Ovis aries: one gene and its partner. The protein of the gene in region 1 purifies or fractionates together with the protein of each later gene. This does not show direct contact. Links are inferred from orthologs where the notes say so. Each region holds a gene or a part of one and is shown on either strand. Other genes may lie near its edges.

The links. Proteins that work in one complex are often made in the same cells at the same time.
Region 2: the proteins of RAB3GAP2 (region 1) and VAPB purify together in Homo sapiens (affinity purification with mass spectrometry; 4 studies listed by BioGRID and IntAct, counting the BioPlex papers as one, with this or other methods). This does not show direct contact. The link is inferred for Ovis aries from reciprocal best matches to the Homo sapiens genes RAB3GAP2 and VAPB.

The regions. Positions count from the first base shown.
Region 1 is NC_056065.1:22,885,699-22,889,198, reverse strand, and holds part of RAB3GAP2 (rab3 GTPase-activating protein non-catalytic subunit), read left to right. Parts: intron 1-1,228; coding exon 1,229-1,334; intron 1,335-1,935; coding exon 1,936-2,096; intron 2,097-3,119; coding exon 3,120-3,348; intron 3,349-3,500. UniProt on the Homo sapiens protein: Regulatory subunit of the Rab3 GTPase-activating (Rab3GAP) complex composed of RAB3GAP1 and RAB3GAP2, which has GTPase-activating protein (GAP) activity towards various Rab3 subfamily members (RAB3A, RAB3B, RAB3C and RAB3D), RAB5A and RAB43, and guanine nucleotide exchange factor (GEF) activity towards RAB18.
Region 2 is NC_056066.1:57,651,537-57,655,742, forward strand, and holds the start of VAPB (vesicle-associated membrane protein-associated protein B/C), read right to left. Parts: upstream 2,801-4,206; 5' UTR 2,492-2,800; coding exon 2,434-2,491; intron 1-2,433. UniProt on the Homo sapiens protein: Endoplasmic reticulum (ER)-anchored protein that mediates the formation of contact sites between the ER and endosomes via interaction with FFAT motif-containing proteins such as STARD3 or WDR44.

The sequences.
Region 1 (3,500 bases):
TGCTCAGTCGTGTCTGACTCTTAGCGACCCCATGGACTGCAGCCTACCAGGCTCCTCCTCCGTCCATGGGACTTTCCAGGCAAGAGTACTGGAGTGGGGTGCCATTGCCTTCTCCGATGAAAGGACATACCCAGTTTTAAAAAAATGAAAAGTATGGATAGGATGAAGTATAAAGGAGGCTAATGAAGGGAGAGATGTGAAAAGGTTAAAAAAGAGCCAAGTTAAACCAAAAAGGGGAGAAAAAGTGTGTTGTACATTTTTATATTAATACAATCAGGCAAATCTAGGTTCAAACTTTAGTTCTAAGTTAGTAACTAAGTTATTTTTCCTTCTTATCGTTTGTAAAACCCCAATAGTCAGCCCTGCCCCAAGAGGTGGTTGTTATCGAATGGGAAGATGCGCTTGTTGGGTACTTATCTGCCTTGGGTTATTCTCCTGAGTTAATTTCCTTCACACACTTCTCCTTCAGCTTCCTGCTCTTCTTAATTTTGAAAATTGTATGTACTAATGTGTTTAAACTGATAGTCAAGCTTTCATTTCATTAGAGCTTTTTTTTTAACATAAAGACATTGCAGAATTATAGGCAATCAAAACCTTTCACACACACCAGCACTTAACAGATGTGACACTATGCCTTTTACGTTTTCATTACCCCGGAATTATCTGTGTACAAATTTTATGAGCCCAGATTTTAAAAATTTTAAGTAGATACGCTTATTTTTAAAAATCATTCTGTTGATTTAAATGCTTTTAAAATCTGTTTCTCATGACTCGGTGACTTGAAGATTAGAGTTTGATAGTATTATGTACTCACCAACCACTGCCAAGTCCCCAGTTTCTTTGCATGACCAAGGCCAGGGCTAGAGCCATAGCTCCAGGCCCTCGTGTCATAACCTGCGGCCAGCCTTCTGTAATCCATGCTCACTGGCAGTACCCTCTCTGCCGATTTGCTCTTTAATAGAAGCTTGCACTGAAGGGTAGTACTGAACCTAAAGAAGTGGTGGAAATGGGGAGATTTTGATCCCCAACAAATAAGGAATCTCTTAAGGTAGACAAGCTACCTTGTCTCCTTGTTCTCCTTCTCACACTACGTCATGTAACAAGCAAGCACTTACCTCCCGACCAGAAAGGCTGAACCACTCATGAATACACATATGGTCTAAAATTGTACAAGATTTTGTTTATGGTAAATATTTTTTTTACAATAAAGATTTAAATCTGATTTCAGTCTCTGCTTCTGAGCGTTTGGCTTTCTAAGGAAAAAGATATTTTGGACAAACCGCAGTCTGTCTGCTGTCTCCATATGATGCTGTACCTCCTGAGCAAGATGAAAGGTGAGCACTGTGGATGCTGAGGTTTGGCTCCTCGGGAATGTGGTCTCCACTCCCAGAAATAATGTTCAGTGTTGAAATTCCACAAAAACGAGGAGAGAGAATACTTCCTCATAACAAAAGGAGACTAGAAGGTACAAAACATTTCACTAGAGAGAATCTTTTATGTAGTCATAGAAAACTCTTAATACATTCAAAGTGTGCTTTATGAAATTTAATTAACATTTTGCATCAACATGAGAAATGATAGTGAACAGTATGTTTTCTGAGTTCATTGAGGTGAATTGAATGGTCTGTGGTGGAGGTAATATTTTTCTTACTGTTTTTGGCATGATGAGAGCAATAATCTGTTATATTAAAACATTCAGTAGTAGTTTTCATCAGTGATGAAAGAGATTTACAATCGATTCAGAGCAAGATGCCTAAGAGCATAAATAAGTGAAATATAAGTCTTCTGAATAAAATAAAGACTTCTTTTCCAGTTCATTAAAAAATACACACACGCATCAATGGGAAACTTGGTTCTAACATTATATTTAACATCAAAGATTAAAAGAAAAAAATTGCCAAGCTAAGAGTTTCTTTTTTTGCCATTTGCCTGTAGTGGCCATCGAAGAGACCTGGGATTCCCAGTCAGTGTCCCCTTGGTGGCAGCAGATGCGCACGGTCTGTATTCAGTCCGAGAACAACGGGGCTGCGCTGCTATCCGCACACGTTGGGCATGCTGTCGCTGCCCAGATATCCAACAGCTTGACTGAGAAGAAAGTGAGTGGGCAGGGGGGCGGTTCTAGGGGGGCTCCCCTCCAGCGGGCTCCCCGACCGCTTTCCCCTTCTGGGCTGCATTGTCTTCAGTGTGTGGAACATCTAGGATTTGAGATATGTGTCCAGCAGAATCTTGTCGACGTCTCTTGAAGATGAGGGGTTCTTCTTTAGCTGTTTATTCAGATAACTTGAACCTAGTCTCCACACAGCATAAGGGGCGAAGCACTGGAGTCAGGGCAGAGACCTGGTGTTCGCAGCTGGTGGTCTGTGGTGAGTGCCTGTAGAAGGCAGGTCCTCATTCAGAAGGCTCAGGGTTAGACAGCATTGTTTCTCCGATTTCTTTCGGCTCTTAGTTTCTACAGTTGTATTTATATCCTTCTTTTAGAAACAAGAGTGGTTTTGGCACGTGGTGTTGAATGACTCAGATGAAAGCTTCCAGTAGACCTTTTACTTTGTGGCTTTTCCCCATCTCTTGAAGACTAAAATTTATTTAAGACAAGACTAGTGCCCCTTGTATCTCATGGTGAATCAAATAATTTTTTCTAGGGGGATGTTGCATTAAATTGGATAGGATACTTAAATAGGTCTGTAGAGATTCACTCAACATTGTCAGTCCCAGTAGTTTGGGGCTAAATTCATTATGACTGGTTTATGATGTTTCTAATAATAGAGAGAGAAATTTAAGATACATTTTTTATGTTGGCTAGTACATTCTGAAGAACTGTCAGTATCCGGGAACGCTGCAGGGATGGGCCTGAAACCTTTGCAGTGCATGTCAGTTGAATTATGGGCCTCACTACAGGTCTCTTCATAAATGTCTGGACTCTATCAGCATTGCTCCTAAGTCTCCAGTCTACTCCTCACCTTCATGTTCCATCCAGCCAAGTAGTAATGTTTGTGTACCAGCATCTATATATCGCTTTGTGATGTATCCTGATGATCAATCCGCTTTCACGTTAAAAGTTCATTCAAGTTAATGTTGATCCAGACTCTTAGCCAGAGTATCAATTGGGCGTTTTCTGTTAGTTTTCCCAAACAGTTTCAGGAACTGACTCGGAAGCCCTCACTGATTCCTGGGAGGCCCTTTCTCTTGATACGGAGTACTGGAAACTCCTCCTGAAACAGCTGGAGGACTGTCTCCTGCTTCAGACTCTGCTTCACAGCAAAACGAACACCCGGACCTCCAAAGTGTCTTCACTGCAGGCTGAGCCGCTCCCGAAGCTTTCTGTGAAAAAGCTGTTAGAAGGAGGAAAAGGTAACCTGAAGTTACTTGAGCATTTGTAGCCATAGATCTATATTTTTATGGTATGAGCTTTCTGGGGCCTTTTTTTTTTTAATAGAAACGACTGAAAGAATAAGGAAAGAAAAATACACTCAGATTTTAAAAGTAAATGAATAACCCACCAT
Region 2 (4,206 bases), on another chromosome or scaffold:
ACCCTAGGCTGAGAGATCACTCTTCAGCCACACCGTTCAGGTAAAGAAATTGAAACGATGAAACCAGTTGTGTAAAACACAACCAATCTCTGTACAATACTGCAGATTTACGAAGCAGCTGAACAGCCATAATCTCAACCAAACTTTCTATAGGAAGCAAGGTAGATATGAGCGCCACTCCCATGGAGAAAAGAGTAATCCTAGGTTTTGGAGAGCAAAGTGGTCAGCCTAAGCTCAAACATCATTAAGCAAAAGAACTGGAACAAGAACTGAGGAGAGTGTATGTACAAGAGTGGGGTTAAGGCTGCAGGGAGAGGTGGGGTCAATCAGGGAGAACTAGCTGAGGAGACACAACACAATCTGCACTTGGACACAGGCTGTATCTGTTCACAAAGGCCTTGGAAGATATGACTCCTGTCAACCAGCCAGCCTCACAGACTGTTGCCTCGTGACCCCAACAAAGGCTCTGTGCCCTAGTCATTCAGATATACTAATGGCATCCCAAAGGAGCCCAATAGTCTCAGCCTTTGTGCCTCTGTACCTGCAACTTCCTCCAACTGACACACTCCCCACTCCTTTCTCCCTTTCACCCACTTCCATCTGACCTTTGAACTCAGGTCAAATGATACCTTCTTTGGGTGTTGATCTTGGAGCAATCTGGATTGCCTTGTATCACAGCACTGTTCTGGCTGATTCTGTTGTTAGCTATCTTGCCAAGACCTAAGCTCTGGTGTGGGGGGTTGAGGGAGAATGGGGGCATCTATGTGATGTGATTCATCTTTTCCTGTTACCTGTCACAGGGAGCAGGCAATGGGTAAATGCCTGTGGACTCACAGAATGGACCTGCCAACTTCCGGGAGGAGTTAAGCCAGGCTTCCAAGGTAGAGAATTTCAGACAACTCAAGTGGAAACCATCACCTTCCACATTCACTTGAGTTACCAGATTCCTCTCTCAGCCTGGCTCCTCTAGAAGGCCTGACCTTAAAGTACTGCCATGGAATTATAATCCACGTCACGGTTTTGTGGTCTGTGTTTGTTTGAACTGGAAAACCTTCCACTGTTTATACATTTGGAATCACTTCCAAATGTGACAACCTGAGATTGTTAACCTGGGAGGCAAAATGACAGCCACCACAGTGGAAGAATGCCCAGGGATCAAGAAAGCATAACTGTTAAAAGAGCGTGAGCTCTGGAATCTGGGTCCCAATGTGCCATTTGCCAACTGGGTGACTCTGGGTAAATTACCCACACTACCTCCTGCCTTAAAGTGGGGTGTGTGTAGCCAGCAGGCATAGCAATGCCCCCAAACATCTACTGAGGAGCTACTCTGGGCCAATGGAAACCATGCTTGCATCATGCCAGCCTGTGTTAGTCCCTCCTGAAATACTCTGGAGTACAGGCTTGCCAACCTTCACTAGAAGCTAATCTTTAAGAAAGCAAGGGTCTTGTCTGTCTTGTCCACTCACCCCTCTCAAGTGCCAATCAAATGTCTGCCACACAGTCACTCAGTACATTTGGAAAGAAGGAATGGTCAAATCAGATGAAGACCTTCTTGTCCCCTAGCACTGTGTTTTGGTGAAGAAAGTAGGGAATAATAACTAAAGATGAAGGCACACATTACAAGGGGCTTGGGCTCGCCACAAACATATAGGTGGCCCCCTGGGCTTCCTCGGACTCCAGTTCCAGGCTCTTCTGGGTGGGGAGGGGGAAGATCTGACAGCCCTTCCCCCACCCCCTTCCCTCGGCTGCACAGCTATGAGCCACAGGCACAAGAAAGGCAGAAGAAGGAAAGTTGAGTCCAGTCCCGTTGAAACTTCTGAGGAGGTTTCTATCATTCACTTACTCAACAGGTGCTTATCAAGGACCTAAGGTGTGCGGGGGATAAAGCGGAGACGTGACCAGGTCCTGTCCTCATGGAGCTTCCCTCCCAATGTGGAGGAGACACAGTACTCAAGTGTGTAAAGTGGTCCTCGTACGCAGGACTAAGTTGCCAAGCTGCCAGGAGTGATGCTACAGGGGCGGCCGCTGGTGTCCTGGGCGGGGTGGCGGGGTGGCGGGGTGGCGGGTCGGCGCGGGCCTCCCGGGGAGGCGACCTCTGACCTAGGACCTGAGCCTTCCGGGGACAGGCGGTCGCCGGGGCCCACACTCTGGGCGGAGGCCGCAGACCGGAGAGAAGGGTCACAGCGGCAACTGTGCGAGTGTCTGGAGGGCGAGGCGCGGGAGGCTGTGGAGGAGCAGGCCCTGGACTCCCGCACCCGACCCTCGGGGCCGGGGAGGGGGCGCAGGCGGACTCGCCGTCGGACGGGGGCGGGGCGGGGGCTGCGGCCGGGGGGCCGACGTCACCACCGCGCCGCCGGGCCCTCCGGAGCGCGGGAGGGAGCGCGGGGCGGCGGGCCCGGCCCGCGGCCGAAGATGGCGGGCCTCCGGGCTTACCTCGGAATTTGAGCTCGTGCTGCGGCTCGAGGCTCAGGACCTGCTCCACCTTCGCCATGTTCCTCGGCGGCGGGGCAGCTCGGGCGGGGAGACCCCTGAGAGGTCACCTGGGGCGGGACGCGTGAATGCTGCGCCCCCTTTAAATTTGGAAAGGGGGGGCCTGCCGGGGCGCGGGCGGGGGTCGCCTATGGGTTGCGCGCGGGGGGGGGGGGGGACGGCCTACGCGGTGCAGGCGCAGGGGCGGAGGGCGAGGGTGAGGCCGCGGTGCCCAGCGAGCGTACGACACGCACGCACGCACGGACGCGCCGACGCACGCACGCACACACGCAGCAGGCCGGCCGCCTTAACCCGGCGCGCGCTCGGGAACGGCGGGGAGCAGAGCGCGCGAGCCCCTGCCGAGCAGTGCGCAGGCGCGGCGGTGGCCGTGGGGGCGGGGCTGCCGGGAGGCAGGGGGCGGGGCGTCGCGCAAGTCCGGGGGAGGGGCGGGTCCGGGACACCCAGAATTGAGGACCATCATCCTGAAGATTATTTATTTAGGCAGGGCGCATGGGAGGCAGATTTTGTGTTAAGTGCTTTAGTCAATAATTAATAAAAATGAACTTCCACTTCTCCTTGCTAATGTGCCAGGCACTTAGAGATTTTGAATAATAATGAAGTACGATTTATTCTTATTATAAACATGATGTTTGTGAGTGAATGATGTGTGTTAGACACGGTGACTTGTGGTAAGCAATAAATATAAATTTAGTAAGCTACCAATTATTGCTTGCTTATTTTGTGCCACTCTGCTGAACGCTTCACATAACAACAGCATCGATTATAATAAATAAAAGCTACTCTACTTTAAATGTTTACTATGTAACAAGCACTGTGCTGAATCCTGTACTGCTAAATGCAACAAATATTTAGAAATACAGTGATCAGAAAAAATGACCTGGTTCCTGCTTCTTACTAGGGGCCATAGATGAGACAGCCTTTGAATAAATAACCACCCACTCAAACAAATACACTTTTAAAAATTACTGAGAACCTATATCTGTTTGGTTTTAAAGTGAACACTCTACCTCATTATCTCATTATTGACATTTAAACTTTACTTCATTATGTAGTGTGTACTACCTGAAATATGTGTTAAATATTTTCCTTTTCATATATAAATGAAAATAGCAAATAGCTAACATTGACTCTACATGACAGACATAGAGGTATTCTTTGTACTGTTCTTTGCACTTTCCAATTTGAAATTTTTTGTAATTTTTTAAAAAGGGTTTTTTTAAAATATAATCTTTGTCTTTTAACTACAGCATTTGGTCCATTTATACTTATTATATTTATGATTATATATGGATATATTTCTACCATCTTATTTTGTGCCTTCCGTTGGTCACATTTGTTTTTTTCTTTTTCCTTTCCTTTTTGCATTTTTAGAGCTAATTTTTTTCTCATTCCACTTTTCCTCCTCTTATATACTCTATGCTGTTTCAATGATTACTCTTTACTTGGCTCCCTGAAAATAAAAGGACTTAAGTGTACTTTAATAGCCCATCCTCTAAATTATATGCCTTAATTATACTATATTTTAAGTTTAATCTTTTCCTTTTTCACCCTGTGAGCCATTACTAAGTTATTTTATACAGTCAATATTGATTTGGACTCAACCACACAGTTACCAATTTCTTTGCTCATCTTTTCTTCCTGCATCTCAGAATTTACAATCAGGATCACTTTCCTCATGCCTGAATCTTGAAATTCTGTTTCAGGAAGTTTGTTGGA